Linked DNA regions of Mus musculus. The protein of the gene in region 2 interacts with the protein of the main gene of each other region in a biochemical or structural test. Links are inferred from orthologs where the notes say so. Each region holds a gene or a part of one and is shown on either strand. Other genes may lie near its edges.

What was found.
Region 1: the proteins of Cabin1 (region 2) and Mef2d form a complex in vitro, tested with the Homo sapiens proteins (2 studies listed by BioGRID). The link is inferred for Mus musculus from reciprocal best matches to the Homo sapiens genes CABIN1 and MEF2D.

What each region holds. Positions count from the first base shown.
Region 1 is NC_000069.6:88,157,677-88,165,854, reverse strand, and holds part of Mef2d (myocyte-specific enhancer factor 2D), read right to left. Parts: intron 7,822-8,178; coding exon 7,684-7,821; intron 7,635-7,683; coding exon of another isoform or gene 7,500-7,634; intron 6,734-7,499; coding exon 6,523-6,733; intron 6,320-6,522; coding exon 6,263-6,319; intron 4,665-6,262; coding exon 4,474-4,664; intron 4,075-4,473; coding exon 4,054-4,074; intron 2,898-4,053; coding exon 2,768-2,897; intron 1-2,767. UniProt on the Homo sapiens protein: Transcriptional activator which binds specifically to the MEF2 element, 5'-YTA[AT](4)TAR-3', found in numerous muscle-specific, growth factor- and stress-induced genes.
Region 2 is NC_000076.6:75,758,759-75,767,396, forward strand, and holds the start of Cabin1 (calcineurin-binding protein cabin-1), read right to left. Parts: upstream 5,600-8,638; 5' UTR 5,267-5,599; exon of another isoform or gene 5,256-5,266; intron 1-5,255. UniProt on the Homo sapiens protein: May be required for replication-independent chromatin assembly. May serve as a negative regulator of T-cell receptor (TCR) signaling via inhibition of calcineurin. Inhibition of activated calcineurin is dependent on both PKC and calcium signals.

The DNA.
Region 1 (8,178 bases), on a different chromosome or scaffold from region 2:
GCTGAAATTAAAGGTATGCACCACCATGCCCAGCTTTCCCCACCACCTTTAAACTTCACTCTAGTTTACTAGTTCTATTTATTTATTCCCCCTAGATTGATTGATTGATTTCTTTCTTTCTTTCTTTCTTTTTTTTTTTTTTTTTTTTTGGTATTTCGAGACAGGGTTGCTCTGTGTAGCCCTGACTGTCCTGGAACTCACTCTGTAGACCAGGCTGGCCTCGAACTCAGAAATCCACCTGCCTCTGCCTCCCAAATGCTGGGGTTAAAGGCGTGCGCCACCACCGCCCGGCTCCCGCTAGATTTTTTACACATAGTTTATTTTATGTGCATTGGTGCTTTGCTGGCATGCACATCTGTGTAAGGGTGTCAAACCCGCTGAAACTAAAGTTACAAACAGTTGTGAGCCACCAGTGAGTGCTTGGGAGTGAACCTGGGTCCCCTAGAAGTGCTCTTAACCACTGAGCCAACTCTCCAACCCCCTGGTTACTCATTTTAAAAACTAGTATAAATGCAAAATGTGGCCTCTGGGACTAACTGTATTCTGTGCTTATTTTACAAACAAGAAAATCAGGCCCAGAATAGGTCAGTGCTTTACCTAAGGACCTCAGGGGAGAAATCAGAACCCAGCTCTTAGTCCTGCCCCATCCCAGCACTGGAGCTCTATCCACTGGGAGGGTTATTTCCTACGGGTCAAGAAGTCGGTCTCCAGGCCACCCGGCTACCTCCTTAAGCTGCTCTTGTAGTCATCACAGACAGACCTCTAAGGTAGTGTCCACAAAGGCCAGGCCCTTCTCCTCTCATGCAGGATACTACCATAGTAGATCGCCTAGCACCTACTGGAATTTGGCTCACATCAGATGTGGTACCCGAAAATGTCTGCTGCTGACAGAAGTCTGCTCAACTACTCCTGTAGCAACAGCAACTGGAGCTTTCGGGCCAAAGCTGCTTTCACACCCTAGAGACACAAGCAGGCCACGAAGAGAGCCGAGATGAACTAACTTCCCTCCTACTTCACAAGACTGAATGGCAAAAGCACAGGCAGCTGCCATGGTAGGATTCCTAAACGAACAATGCCCACTTCCCCATTAGACTCAGAAAGTTGGTTTTTCTCCTTGTCTTGGGAATGGTTGACAGGCTGAGGGAGCTTATCACCCTCTTACCCACCTATGTGCCCTGAACCAGGCCTTCAGGCTGCCACTTCTGAAGCAGCCAGCCCCTCCTCAGCCTCAAGATTCAATAACGTGGGAGTGGGTATGTTGTGAGGCAGCCAAGGAACTAGGGTCAGAGACATCTGCCCAGAGTCCTCTACAGCCTGGCCCCTGCTGAAGCGTGAAGTAGGCTGCTGCCTGCTCCTCAGCATCTCTCCTGCTGCTGGGAAAGGGCAAAGGTGGGGTCTGTGGGAACTGTGGTGGGATCTGTACCCTAACATGCTTCAGCTCCCAAAGGACTGGCAGAGGTGGAGGAGTTTACTGTCACCACAGAATGGCCTGAATACTGGTCACTCAAGCGTGAGGATCAGTGAATGAAGTGGGAAAGAAAGAGCTTACTGCCACACAAAAGCTCCAAGACCAGGTGACAACACATTTCCCCACTAGCAAGTCCTTCCTGGGCAGACACAGCAGCCTGAATGCAGCAAAGGATGGCTGCGGGCATCACACTGTTCTGGGGAAGGTGTGAGAGGCTGACAGAGCCATGCCAGCTTGCATTATGTCCCACAGTTCTTCCCAGAGGCCTCTGCCATGTCCTTAGGTAACTGCTCACCTTTAGACCTATCCAGCCTTCCCAGGCTTATCCTGCCTCCCACTCACTGCTGTACCGAGCCATCTCTGCTCAGGCAACTAGCCAATCCACTCTGCATCCTCTAGGAAGCTCTGCTGCATTGACCATGTCCCTTCCCCAGCCCCCAAACCATAACTCTATCAGCCTGGTGTGGCTGAGTCATGTGCTCAGCCACCTCTGGTCTGTCCGTCCCCTCACACTGGACAGCAGTTACTCTTCCACAAGAACCTATGCTAAAAATAAAAGATCACTGGTTAAAAGTGAATTTTACCTTAACAATGCATTTTTAAAAAGTATGTCTTTGGGATGCACTTTAGCACAAATAGTGCCTTTGGGATACATTTAAGACTGAAAAAGAAATTGTTTTGTCTTAAGTTCAAATCAAGAATTTTATTTCTGTTTATAAACTTTTAAAAAATGATTTAATTTTTTTATGTGTATATGTTTGTATGTATGCCATATGTGGTCAGGTGCCTGGAAGAGGCTAGAAGAGGGTTTTGGATCAATTACAAGTAGTTGTGAGTAACTGTGTGGGTGCTGGGAACTGAAAGTGAACTCTCTGGAAGAGCAGCAAGTTTCCCTAACTGCTGAGCACTCTCTTTAGCCCCTGTTTTGTTTTTTGAGACAAAGTCTCATGTAACTGAGCTGGACTTTAATTCCCTGTGTAGTTGAGGGTGACCATGAACTTCTGGTTCTCTGGTCTCCACCTCCTTGGTGCTCAGATTACAGACAAGTGCTACCACATCTGGCTTATAAATAGTGCTAGCAACTGAACGTAAGGCTTCATGCCTGCAAGGTAAACCCTTTCTTTACCAACCGAGCTCCACCCCCAGCCCAGGATTCTGTTTTTATGTTTGATCTACTAATTACCACACTAATTAGTGAAGGACTTTCCTCAGATTGGAAGGAGCATCCAGTGACCATCTCTGGTCACTTCCCTGCCCTATGCACAAGAGCACAAAGTACCAAGTTACATCAACACTCACCTGTGTTGTAGGCAGTGGGCATGGAGGAGAAGGGGAGGCCCTGGCTGAGTAAACTTGGTGTTGCCACGGAAACCACTGGGGTGGTGAGCGAGTGGGTAGACTGGGAGACCCCAAGGCGCTGGGCATTGTTCTGTAGGAGAAAACTGTCTGTCAAGAGATGGCAAATGGGAGGGCTGTCTCGAGGTGGTCAACCTATACTGCATCTGAACTAGGTCCCTGAATTCCAAGGGAAGGTACCATAGCATGGAGGCCCACAGACTCACTAACACAGTTGTTGTGTTTGAAGGCCTCAAGACTCACAGAGAAAAACATGCACACACAGATTCACTTGCATCTGCACCCAACAGACAGGAAGGCATGGGAGCAGCCTGGAGCTCAATGTGAACCCTGCCCTGGTACCTGGGTGGAATGATAGAAGGAAGAGATGTGGTCTCTCTTGGGCTAAGACCACTAGAGTCTCCTCTGTACCCATTACAGTAGCAGATGTCCCAGGAGATGTATACTGGCATCTGGGAATGGAACGTGGGATCTGGGGTGGCATGTGATTGCATGTATGCACACACGTGTGTAGGGCTGTCAGCTCCATCTGCTGCTGAGTCACTTGTTTATTCCAGCTCCATGCTGGGGCCGAGGCTGCCGGTGTGTTGGCCGCCAAAGCCTGCTTGCCTTTTCCAGCCTTTCTGGCCTCCTGTCAGCAAGCTGGGGAGGAAGCACCCTCCTCTTTCCTGGCTGATGATGAGTGTAAGCACAGGAGGGGCTGTGCACGTCTCTAAGTGCCTGTGAGATGGGCTCGGAGGAGGACGGGAGTGAACAGGCAGGCAGAGAAGTCCTTGCTAAGGACAACTCCATTAATGACAGCCTCTGGCCTTGGACTTTCCTAGATTTTCTTGTAAGGATTAGGCTTGTGTCTTGGATTCCAATGTTGTGTGGGCCTATGTGGAGTCAGGAGGCCAATGGAAACTAAGGGCTTAATTCAGGTATCTGCTGGGGCCTCAAAGGGCCGTGAATAGCCTCATGCTCTTTTCTACATGCACACACATACACATATATGAATAAGTGTGGTAACATATAAATATCCATGCACACACAGATGACACATGCATGCCATGTCCAGCCCTTCCCGCTACCCCATTTACCTTAGTATCCCACTCAGCTCTATGCACAGCTCCTGACAACCACATTAAACACACAGGGAGAAGACAGGTACATAAACTCATGCTACAGACTGAATAACACTGGGCAAAGCTGGAACTCAAAGACACTGTTAACATCTTAGCTGCACTTACCAGATCTAAATGGTCCTCAGTCTGGGAGCAGAAATAAAACCAAAAGGAAGGTTCAGGCTATGGCTCCTGCCCTTCCCATATGGCCACCCCAGTCCCCCTATTTGCCTAAGAGCAGAGTGCTCTTTGTGGCCCAAAAGGATATCTAGATAGTCTGTCTATCTGATAGCCATAAACTGCTGTATCCTGGCCTCCATCAGCCAGATATCGTCTGCCAGTCCTTATTCTCATGGTGCAGTGTGAATTCCTTTTACCATCTTCATCATACACCCTTTTCTCCTATCTCCTGTTCATTTTTACTGCCCTCTGGTCAGCACTGCTATGGTCCAAAGGCCCTCAAGAAGTCCTACCTGCTACTAACCTTCATTTTCTTGCTTTTATTCCCACCTCCCAGACCCTGCCAAAGCCCGGAAACACACTCACCAAATGATGCATTAACCCTTTGCCTCCCTGGGAAGTGATGACCCGCAGATCAGGCTTGCGGCTGGGGGCTCCAAGCTGGGTGTTGTGGGTGGGTGGGGGCGGAGACTTGGCAGGGATGACTTTGTTTAGGCTGTTGCCATTGGCCACAGGGAGGAGGCCAGGGGAAGCTCGGGCACTGACATAGCCATTCCCTGGAAAAGTGAGATGAGAAACGAAAAATGGTGGCCTGCCTCTGTACCTGCCAACTGCCCCAGACAAGCATATCTGTCACCTGGAGGCTCTCGGAGGCATGCCAGCATTCGACATGGATGCTGCCTGCCTGTCACTGCCTAAAGCCTTGGCTCCCAATCACTTGACATAAGTCAGCCTCCAAGCCACAGTGATAGAACCAGAGGTAGAACTGACACGCAACCATTGCCACTGCCAGCCCCAGGCACTTAAAGAGAGCCCTGCAGCCATGCTTTCCCCAAGCCTGGCACTCAGACCCCTCCATAGGCTTCACACAGGATGCATGACTCGAGTGGGAAGGGTGGCAGGCTGTGACCACCAGAGCCAGGCAACCATTTAGACTGTTTCCTTGCCAGGAACTGGAACTCTGTGTTTTCCATCAGCACAAGGCAAGCTGCTTGCCACCATGGGGAAACAGGCCACTGACTGTTGGTAAAGGTGTTGCTGGCACTGGGGGCTGGCGATATGGTCACTCCCATAACTAGACCTGGGAAAAAGGCATCACAACTTCTACATTGGCTCTGCACTCTGCCATGTCCAGGTCTTCTAAACACAGTATTTCACCCATGCTCACATCAACCCTGTGAAGTGCATGGGATGGACTTTTTGTCAGTTCTGGGAACATGACATTAGAGGAAGCATGACACTAGCTGAGAGAGCTGTGGTGACTTCTCCACAACCATCCAGGGCCATCTTACTGAGGTCCCAACGCTGAGCTCCAGGGCCTGTGAGCAAGGCCTGGAGAGAAGGTGTATGCCTTCAGTCTACAGTCTCATGGCCCTAGTGCACAACCACTTCTACAGTACCCTCACGCCCACCCACCTCACACAGGACCCATAATGACCAGACAGGAAACAGGTAGCACTTGGCTGAGACTGAGCTGGAAGAGCCTGAGGTTCAGGAATGTAAGTTGTCCCCACAGTGAGAAATTTCACCTTTCTCTGTCTGCTACAAGCACATGGTTACCCTCAAAGTGTGTTGCTGTTTCTATCCCAACTCCAAGATCACTCTGGGAATGGCAAGAATGACAGGGTGACGTCAATGGTGACATTAGAAGGAGGTCACTAGCCAACAGCACAGATCAAGAGTGGCTAGCTGTGTTGGGGCCCAGGGGCAATGGTGGTTACTTCCTATAGCTCTAGTGTGAATGCCTATAGGTACACATCTGTATGGTGACTCCATAGGAACACGGAGGCCTGTGTGCACGGTGGTGTTTGGGTGCCTACCATTTGTTGAGACAAGTCCTGATCCCAACAAGATGCCCCATTTTAATCTGAAAATGCTAGACCCTGGCCAAGTATGATGGTGCATGCCTTTGATCCCAGCACTCAGACAGTAGAGGCAGGTGGATTCTATGAGTTTGAGGGCATCTTAGTCTATATAGCAAGTTCCAGGCTAGCAAGGCTACATAGTAAGACCTGTCTCAAGAAAAAAGAAAAAAAAAAAAAAAAACAAACAAACAAGATGGGGTGGGAGGCTAACATCTTCTGATGCATCCTGCTCAGGCCCTGTTATTTCCCTCCCCTGGTCTGAGCCACCCTGTGGAGGCAGCTACACTCACCAACGGGGCTGGGGCAGGCTCCATTAGCACTGTTGAGGTCTCCACCCAGCATGGCTCCTGGGAGAAAAGCAGAGCTACCATGAGCTTTGTCTTGGGACAGGACAAGAAGAGGGGTCTCTGAGGAGTCCTAGGCCTTTTCCCCTCAAGAGTCATACACATACAGAAACGCTGCAAAGGGAAGACCCTCCACTGAAAACAGAAGCCCAGAGCCCCTCCACAGCTCACTCTGACCTCAGGGACTCACCCTCCAGCCCACTTACCTGCACTAGCAGGCCGCTGGGGCAAGCCTGGAGAAACACTGTTTCTCTGTAGTGCTGGCTGCTGGGGGGACAGGAGCCGTGGGTCCGTAAGGGATGATGTCACCAGGGAAGGAGTGACCAGAGAGCTACTTGGATTGCTGAACTGCATGGAGCTCTGATTGGACACGGGCACTGTGACAGGCATGGCAAAGTTGGGGGCCGGAACAGATGACTAGACAGGAAGATGGAGGGTAATGTCACACCAGGTCAGTGTCTCCCCCATACCCGTTTTGCCTGAGGGTAGACACAGAGTTCTTTGGTTCCTGAACTATATCTCCAAAGGCCAGAAGCTTGGGCTCCCTGCCTTCAGCCCTTTGGTAGTCCTGCCTACCTCCCATCAGAAAGGTAAGAGCACTTTGCAATACAGCTCTGACCCAAGGCAAGAGAGGCAGGCTCTGCCCACTGCAGGTGGGACTGGATACCCCCAGTGGAGGTGGGTTAGTCCTCAGCCAGGCAGGACACACTGGGAGCAAGTTAGTGCCCTGGGTACAGACCCGAACTCGCATAGTACTGAGGATATGGCTTCGCTAAGTGGCCACCACCTTCTGGCCTGCGTTAAGAGCAGCTCAAGCCCACCTTTCTACCATCCCTTTAGTAGTTCCGCTTCCTTTACATAAAGCTGAATGACTGAGGCAGGGGTGCCAAAGCACCCCAAGGGGGATCCCCCAAAACAGTGGGACAAAGAACTCGCTCCACTCCCTTTCCCTCCTGAGACTGCACTTTCTGCTGGGGAGAGGATACTGCAGGTCTCTCTAGTTTATGCAAGAAGAACTTTACAAGAGGGTTATCAAGACCAAGGTCAGGAGTTCCTCAGTGGTCAGTACCAGCTCAAGGATGGCTCAGCATAGTACATCCATCAGAGGCAGCCGAGGGCCGGGCAAGGCTGAGTGAAGCCACACCATGCAGCACAGGAGGCTCTCCTCCATGCGACTACTCACGGCCAGTCTATAACTCTGCATCATCTTATCAAACTCCTCGTCTATCTTTTTATACTTCTCTTCCGTCTGGGGGGTCAGGGCAAACGCCTCGTCCACCTCGGGGCTCTCACACTCCCTGTGCTTCTTGTGCAGCGCCTGGGGGAGGGGCCGGAAGGGGGCCAGAGAAAAGGTGAGGAGGGCTCACCCCATAGCGCCTGAAGAGCCCATCCAGCTCCTCACTGGCCCGCCGGTACTTGTCCTCCAGCAGGGGGCTCTGCTCCAGTGAGTCCTCCCCATCCGGCTCTGGGCTGTCACAGCCGTTGAAACCCTTCTTCCTCAGGGTCTGCAACCGCACACTCAGTCAGCCAGCCGGCGATGGCCCTCGGGCATCCTCCAAGCTCCTCCCCCAAATCCCCTACTCTTCTCCAACCTTCTCTCCCGTGGTTCCCAGATGTTCTAGTCCCCCTCCCCCCCCAATCCCCACCCAGAGCCATCCTCCCCTCCCTACAGCGTTCCCTGGGGCAGGCATGCTACACAGCTGTCTAGGGAGAAGCCAGGTCCTGCCGGCTCCCTAGAGAGTGTGCTTGGGGGTGGGGACTCTGCCCATGCAAACCCGAGGTTCTACTTAGATGAGAGAAACTGAATGGAGACAGGAAAGGACAATACAAGAAAGCACAGAGGACCCGCACTCATTGAGCTC
Region 2 (8,638 bases):
AGGTCCTGAGTTCAATCCCAGCAACCACATGGTGGCTCACAGCCATCTGTAACAAGATCTGGCGCCCTCTTCTGGGATGTCTGAAACAGCTACAGTGTACTTAAATATAAAAAAATAAATAAATCTTAAAAAAGAAAAAAAATTCATTTTGATCCACATGCAGCAGAAGGGACTGTATTAGTGGACACAACTTAAGCACACAAGACCCCAAAGCTTGCCCCACAGTGACACACTTCCTCCAACAAGGCCACACCTAAGAGTGACACTCCCTATGAGCCAAGCATTCAAACAGAAGTCTATGGGGGCCATACTTATTCAAACTACCACACCACACACACATACACAAGCACACGCACACAAACACACACACAAAAATTAAAGTTTAGAAAAATCAAATAAAATAAATTGGAATGAAGAAATGGCTAAGCAGGTGAAGTTACTTGTCATTGTCATGCCTTACAGCCCAAGTTAAATCCCTGGAACCCACAGAAATGGAATTCCCAAAAGTACACCCTTACCTCCACAAGCACGCATCATGCACACACAATAATATTTTACATTCATATTTATATTATGTGTATGGATGTTTTGCCTGTATGTGTGTATGTGTGCTACATGTGTGCTTCTGGTCTACAGAGGCTAGAAGAAGGGGTCAGACCCCCTGAGACTGGAGTTACAGACAGTTGTAAGCTGAAACGTTCGAGTGCTGGGGATCTAATCTGGGACTTTTGGAAGAGTAGCCAATGTTCTTAACCACTGAAGCATCTTTCTAGCCACAATAATTGTTTTAATTTTTAAAAAGGTGGGTGAAGGGCAAGGACCAACATCCAAGGTTGTGTTCTAAGCTCCACATCTTTTCTATGGCACGTATACATACATACATACAGATATGCGCGCACACACACACACACACCTTTCCATAAACATTATTACAACCAAGAGAGTCCTGATCAAAGCCTAAGGGCTGGGACCTGCATTCAGATCCTCAGCATGTATCTGTAAGCCTAGAACTAGGAGCAGAGACAAGACGACCCTGGAGCTCTCAGGCCAGCCAGTGCAGCTACTAATAAGTCAACCTTCAGTGAGAGATCAGTCTTAAAAGGTGGAGCATGACTTCTAACATTCATCAATGACCTAAACACAAACATACACAGAAATATATACACAAACGTGTATACACATGCAAACCATACACACACACATATGCATATATAAACACATATGTGTGTGTACATGGTCTATTATTCACTACCATCAGCAACAAGAAGGAAGAGCCATGTATTTAAAATCCAACTCTAGCAGGTATAGTGGCCAGCAAGCAGGAGGACTCTTAAGTTCAAGTATAGCCTGAGCTATATAGAGACCCTGTCTAACAAAAACCTTCTAGGTAAGTCAGGTGTGGTGGCACACACCTTTAATCCCAGCACTTGGGAGGCAAAAGCAGGTGGATTTCTGAGTTCAAGGCCAGCCTGGTCTACGGAGTGAGTTCCAGGACAGCCAGAACTACAGAGAAACCCTGTCTTGAAAAACCAAAAAAAAAAAACCAAAACAACAACAACAAAACTTCTAGGTAAAAGTGAGTCAATCGAAAATAAAAGAAACATAACAAAATATAAAAATTAAATCATACAGTTATTTCCATAAACAGACAGCTTAGCATTTACAAGTGCGGGCTGTGTTGGCTGCCCTGGCCGAGGACCAAGGTTTAGCTCACATATCAGATGGCTCACAACCTCCTGTATGCCAGTTCTAAGGGATCCAAGCCCTCTTCTGGCCTCTACAGGTACTGTATGCTCATGGTGCACATACAGACAAGCAGATACATATTAAGGTGTTTTAAAATAAATTTACTTCTTTAAAGAAAAATGACCAAATTCAATAGCTATGAACACAACCAAAAAGAAAAAAATTGAAAAAAAAATGGGAAAAGAAGAATAACATCTTGTCATGAAAAAATAGAAATAAATACCTTGGTCCTAAAGCCAAAACAGTATTAATGGAAAAAACACTCCACACATACACAGCACACCATTAGTACATACACAGCACACCACTAGTACATATGCAGCACACCATTAGTACATACACAGGCCATTAATACACACACAGCACACCATTAGTACACACACAGCACACCATTAGTACACACACAGCACACCATTAGTACACACACAGCACACCATTAGTACACACACAGCACACCATTAGTACACACACAGCACACCATTAGTACACACACAGCACACCATTAGTATACACACAGCACACCATTAGCTGATGAGTACAGAGCTGGAACCTGGCTCAGCAACAAAGAGCATGGATTGCTCCAGAAGAGAACATAGTTTGGTTCCCAGCACCAACATCAAGTAGCTCCAGCCATCTTTACCTCCAGCTCCTGAGGAGCTGATGCACATCTCGGGCCTCCCTGAGCAACCACATCATGTGCACATACCCACACACATACGTAATTTTAAAATTAAAATAATTTAAAGATAATAATGATAATTTAATGTAAAAATTGATTCATACAAACCATAAATAGACAATATGATAGTGCAGAAAATCCTATTGGCAGGACCAACAAGATAAAGTCCTTAGTAAGAGATCTGCAATGTACACAGGGAAAATTGTAGAACACAACTCAGAGTGTGACTCCTGTGTAACGCATCTCTTCTCCTCAGGTAGGATACAAGGTGTCAGTTCTCCCGAAGTTACCACATAAACCTCATGCAGTGCCCCCCAAAACCGAGATAACAGACAAGATGACATCAAGGACCATCTAGAAAAATAAAAATGTAAGACTACCTAAGTACAAAGTGAAAAAAAAAAACCTGCTAAGAAGAGAATAAGCTTTATCCAATGTTATAAACACAAACTATAACACATGCTACATAAAGCCTTAAGGGATGAAATGAGAGGAAGCAGCACATGTTGCCACAGAGAGGTCAGGTCCAGAGTTACACTCCAGTGTGCATGTGCTGCGCTTGAGGGTCAACTTCAGCATGTTCCCCAAAAGATTCCTGGGCCTCGGTGGGTCAATGCTGGCAGACAGTGTGACCTTTAAGAAGTGATGCTTACAGCAAACGCCTTGACTGCTGCGAGATGGCTAGGATGATAAAGGAACAGGAATTGGATCCCCGGAAACCACATGGACAAAGCTGTCCTCTGAGCTCCAATGGTGCTGCGGCACTCAGGCCCCACCGTCATCTCATACACAAGATTAATCTATCAGTTAATCAAACACTTTTTTTTAAAGCTGGGATTGGAGGCCTGTCATCCCAGCATTCAGGAGAATGAGGAACCTGAAGGATGGTTCAAATTCAAGGACATCCTAGTTTCACAAAACTTACTTCATCATATACTTTATGCACATAGCCGGAAGATAATTTTACATAAAATGTTTAATAATTTGTACATGGAACAAAGTATCATGGTACAGAATTTCCACAGTCATCTCTGCACTCAAAAGTTTTGGATTTGGGGGAAATTAAGATTTTCAGACTAGGATGCTTAATCTATAATCACTTATCAATTCCCAGCCTAACTGTTGCAGTTTTCTAAGAATAACACATTTTAAATTCTCAAGTTTCGCCGGGCATGGTGGTGCACGCCTTTAATCCCAGCACTCAGGAGGCAGAGGCAGGCGGATTTCTGAGTTCGAGGCCAGCATGGTCTACAGAGTGAGTTCCAGGACAGCCAGAGTTACACAGAGAAACCCTGTCTCCAAAAAAAAAAAAAAATCTCAAGTTTCTAACCCCCACCCTACCCTTTTTTTTCTTCTTCTTCTTTTAAACACAGAATCTATGTAGTGCCAGTTGACTGGGCCTGGACTTGCTATATAGACCAGACTGAGAGAGATAAACACATGCCTTTGCCTCCTGCGTTCTGAGATTAAAAGCGTGCACTGACATAGCAGGTCTGTTTCCAAACTCTATGAAGTTTCCATTGCTTAAGATCATAGTAAAGAAAAGCTATTTATGGCCCTCAGCTCTGCCATCCAGTTAGTGAAAGGCAACCAAGGGGCCTACTAGGGTCTAGGAGCCTGGCAATTTTTCTTGTCAGGGATAAGGGAGTTTTCAAGGTAGGGTCTCCCTGTGTAGCTCTGACTATCCTGGAACTTGCTCTGTTCCACCTGTCTCGGCCTCCACAGTGCTTGGGATTAAAGGCACACACACCATTACACACAGTGTGATGGTTTGCATATGCTTGGCCCAGGGAGTGGCACTATTTGGATGTGTGGCCTTGTTAGAGGTGTGTCACTGTGGGAGTGGGATTTTATACCCTAGTCCTAGCTTCCTGGAAGTCAGTCTTCTGTTAGCAGCCTTCAGATGAAGATGTAGAGCTCTCAGCTCCTCCTGCACCATGCCTGCCTGGATGCTGCCATGTTCTCGACTTGATGATAATGGACTGAACCTCTGAACCTGTAAGCCAGCCGCAATTAAATGTTGTCCTTTATAAAACTTGCCTTGGTCATGGTGTCTGTTCACAGCAGTAAAACCCTAACTATGACACCTGACTTCTGGCAGTCTTGAGGTTATGGTAGAACTGTGTGTGAGAGACTGACTTAACATAAATGCCCCTCTCTATGCCTGTTTCCTCTATGATGTGACATGCTGGTCTAGACATGGCCTGTAGGTTCACCATCCACTGCTATTATACAGCCCGAAAGGAGGATTTTTTTTTCTTTTTTACATTTCTAATGAGGAAAACAACCAGCCAACCAACCAACCTCTTGATTCATGACAATTACATAAAAATTATTTCCATTCAGCTTTCAGTATCTATAAATAAAATTATAGTGACACACTGTCTCATATATTGTCTTTGACTTTATTAATGAAACAATTGAACAGCCACCCCAAATCTAAAACACTTACCATTAAAAGTATTGTTTTTTTTTAAATTAAATTTACAACATAAAATATAAATCTATCTACAAGAGTGTGCCAACCCCTGAAGGAGATCATTCTAAATTTTATTCCTAAGCAAATTAATCAATCACATAGAAGGAACTTTACCCAGATGAGGTTCAATAGGCCACACTGATGACCTATAAGAAGTCACGTCTTGAAGAGTTAAGCGGCAAAGTCCACAAGTGCAGAAACCTGACAGCGCCAGGTGAAGTCGTTCTACCTGCCTCCTCCATGGAGGGTGTTGAGCAGAATGGCTGCAGTCGGGGTAAGCCGCACCGGAACTTTAAAGTCGTTTAAAACCTTCCCTCGGCCTCAGTTTCCACCCCTGGAAATGGTACTCACATCACACTCACCTCGCTGGGCTGCGGTGAAGGTGAACGAAAGGACGCACCGAAAGGGATGGCTTCGAGCTGCGGTCACTGTGACCCACCCTAGGCGCCACCGGGCGAGGCTGCGGGAAGCGAGAAGAAGCCAGCGTGGGCAGAAGACCCGCGCCCGTGCCTTCGGGTCTCGAGCCTGGCTTCGGCCCACCGCGCCCGGGAGGAAGGGGAAGAGCGGGTCTTCTCGCGTGGTTCCACCTCCTCGCGCTCACGGGAGCCGTGCGCACACTTAGCAGACACACACAGCCCTTGCTCCCCGGAACTCGACCGGCGTCTCCAGGGCAACGGCCGGAGCTCCCAGACTCCTGCGCGCGACAAACCAACAAGGAACGCTCTCATTGGCTGAAGTGTCAGCCTTATCAGCCAATCGGAGTAGGCTGTTTGGGCGGACCCACGGGTTCGCTGTGCGCTGTGTCTTTGACTCGCGCGCGTGGGAACGCTGCTGCCTGCTGCTGCTGCGCTCCGCTACCTGCAGGACTTAACAGTTTTGTTTTATTTTGCTTTGGTTTTGTTGTTGCTATTGTGTTTTATTTTGGTCTGGTTTGTTTTAAGCAGTGTCTCACTAGTGCAGCCCAAACTAGCTTCGAACTCGTGGCTATCCTCCGGCTTCGGACTCCGGCTTGCTAAGGTTACTGGCCATCACATACTACCACTTGCACGCACGCTTTATGAACGCGAGTTTACAAACTAGAACCCCCCCCCCCCCCATTCACTAAAACAAGCGCATTGCTGCCAAAGACCCGGAGCAGGTGTTCTGACGATAATGATTGGAAACCCAAGCGACACGCAAGCAGAACTAGATAGGGAGCTGGAACTTGTTATGGTGCCCAGGCCTCGCCTCTTCTGCCTGGTCTGGAACTCCGTATTTACAGGCTCTCCGACTCACAAAGATAAGCCTGCCTCTGTCTCCCAAGAGCAGGGATTAGATACATGAACGACTTAGAAACGCAAATGATTTAAAAACCAAAGGGCGGGGGAGCAGACCCGCTTAAGAAACGTGTCAGAGAAGTTTACCGGTTTTTGAGCAGAAAAACCTGATAAGGAGAGGTTAGTATTTTGGGAGTTGATGCAACCCTTTAGGGAGGAGCTCCACACTGCTGGAATCCCTGGTGGCAAAGTATCCCACAAGAATGATTTAAATAACACTAAGGGGCTGCAGAGCCGTCTTGGCAGTTCAGAGCACTGGCTTCTCTTCCAGGGGACCTTGGTTTGAAGACCAGCATTGGCACAGCTCACAACCGGCTGTAATTTCAGTTCAAGAGTTCAAGACGATCTCCAACGCCCTCTTCTGGCTTCTTCTGGAACTGCACAATGTGGTACACAGCCATACATGCAAGCAAAACACTCATACACATAATTTTTTTTAAAAAAAGGTTTGTTTACTTTATGAATGTAAGTACACAATATCTGTATTCAGACACACCAGAAGAGGGCATCGGATCCCATTACAGATGGTTGCAAGCCACCATGTTGGGAATTGAACTCAGGAACTCTGAAAGAACACATTAAAATTTTTTTTTTTTTTTTTTTTTGGTTTTTTGAGACAGGGTTTCTCTGTATAGCCCTGGCTATCCTGGAACTCTGTAGACCAGGCTAGCCTCGAACTCAGAAATCCACCTGCCTCTGCCTCCCAAGTGCTGGGATTAAAGGCGTGTGCCAACACTGCCCAGCTCACATAAAATTTTTAACAATGAATGTTACGGCTTTTTTCCCCCATATTGTAAGAGTTTGAAAACTTATTTAAAGCTGGGCATGGTGGCACACGCCTTTAATCCTAGCACTTGGGAAGCAGAGGCAGAGTGACCAGGTGATCTCTGTGAGTTCCAAGACACCCAGGGTAACACAAGGTAACACAAACCCTGTGTAGAAAAACAAAAACCAAACAACAACAACAAAATGCGGGGGGCGGGGGAGCAAGGCTTGTTTAAAAAGAAAACATTAACAGTAAGAATCATGGTGCATAATTCAATCAGTCTGGTACAAAGAAAACAACCTTATTAATATTCCAAGAGGTTAAAAAATATATTACCAACTTTGACTTCAGAAAAGTATAGACTGGAGGTTGGAGAACACCAACTGGCTCTTCCAGAGGTCCTGAGTTCAATTCCCAGCAACCACATGGTGGCTCACAACCATCTGTAATGGGATCTGATGCCCTCTTCTGGTGTGTCTGAAGACAGCGACAGTGTACCCACATACATAAAAGAAAAAAAAAAAAGTATAGACTGCAAGAGGGTAGAGGAACAGAAAGAAAAATTATTAAAATTGTGTAAACAGTGAGTCTTGGTGGTGAGACTTCTGCCTGTGCACACTCGGGAAGCTGGGGCAGGAGGATCACTTCAAGTTCAAGGCTAGCCTGTTTTACACAACAGATTCAGGTCAGTCAGGGCCACCTAGAAAGAGCCATTCTCAAAACCACAAATATAGCACGAATAGTATAGTATGCTTATTGGATCCAGTTTCCATCACTCGGTTCTTGAAAAATAGACCCCATGCCGGGGTCTACAGGGTAAGGGTTCAAAGGTGAAAGAAATATTGATCATGCCAGAGCCTCAAACAGAACAGAATTGACAGAGAGATAGCTCGGAGCTACCTTGGGGTGGGGAGAACATTTGAGAAGTGAGAGACCTTTCTATGCAAGCCGACAGGTAATATCAGTGTATGTGGTAGGGGTGACAGATTCAATATGGTAAGACTGTTTGTCTTCCATTCCCGCTGAGTTCCCGCTGAGAGGTCCATGTCAGTGCCATCCTCAGGTGTCCTCAGAATTCCAACACCCGCTGGTAGAGAGAAGAGGTTGGCTTATCAGTCTCAGAAACTAAATGAGCTCCAGTCAGCCTCTCAAACTTAGAAGATGCACAGCTTTCTTTCCGCCCTGCTTAGCTGCTTTGTTAGCTTGAAGCAAGCTAGAGTCACCAGGGAAGAGGAACCTCAGCTGAGACAGTGCGCCCATCAGATTCCTCTCTAGGCAAAGTCTATAAAAAGTCTAGAGGGTGTGTTCTTGATTAATAATTGGTGTGGGAAGACCCAGCCCGTTGTGGGAGGTGCCACCACTAGTCAGATGATCCTGGGTTGTGTATGAAAGCAGACAGAAGACTCTTAGGTCAAAATGGCGGGTCAATCTGCTGTTGCAGCATCAAGCAAGTGGCTGGATGGTTTTCGAAAGTGGTATTATAACGCTGCAGGATTCAATAAACTGGGGATAATGCGAGATGCTACACTACATGAAACTGAAGATGTAAAAGAAGCCATAAGAAGGCTTCCTGAGGACCTTTATGACAGGCTGTTTCGAATTAAGAGAGCCTGACTATGAGGCATAGGATCTTGCCTAAGGATCAGTGGACA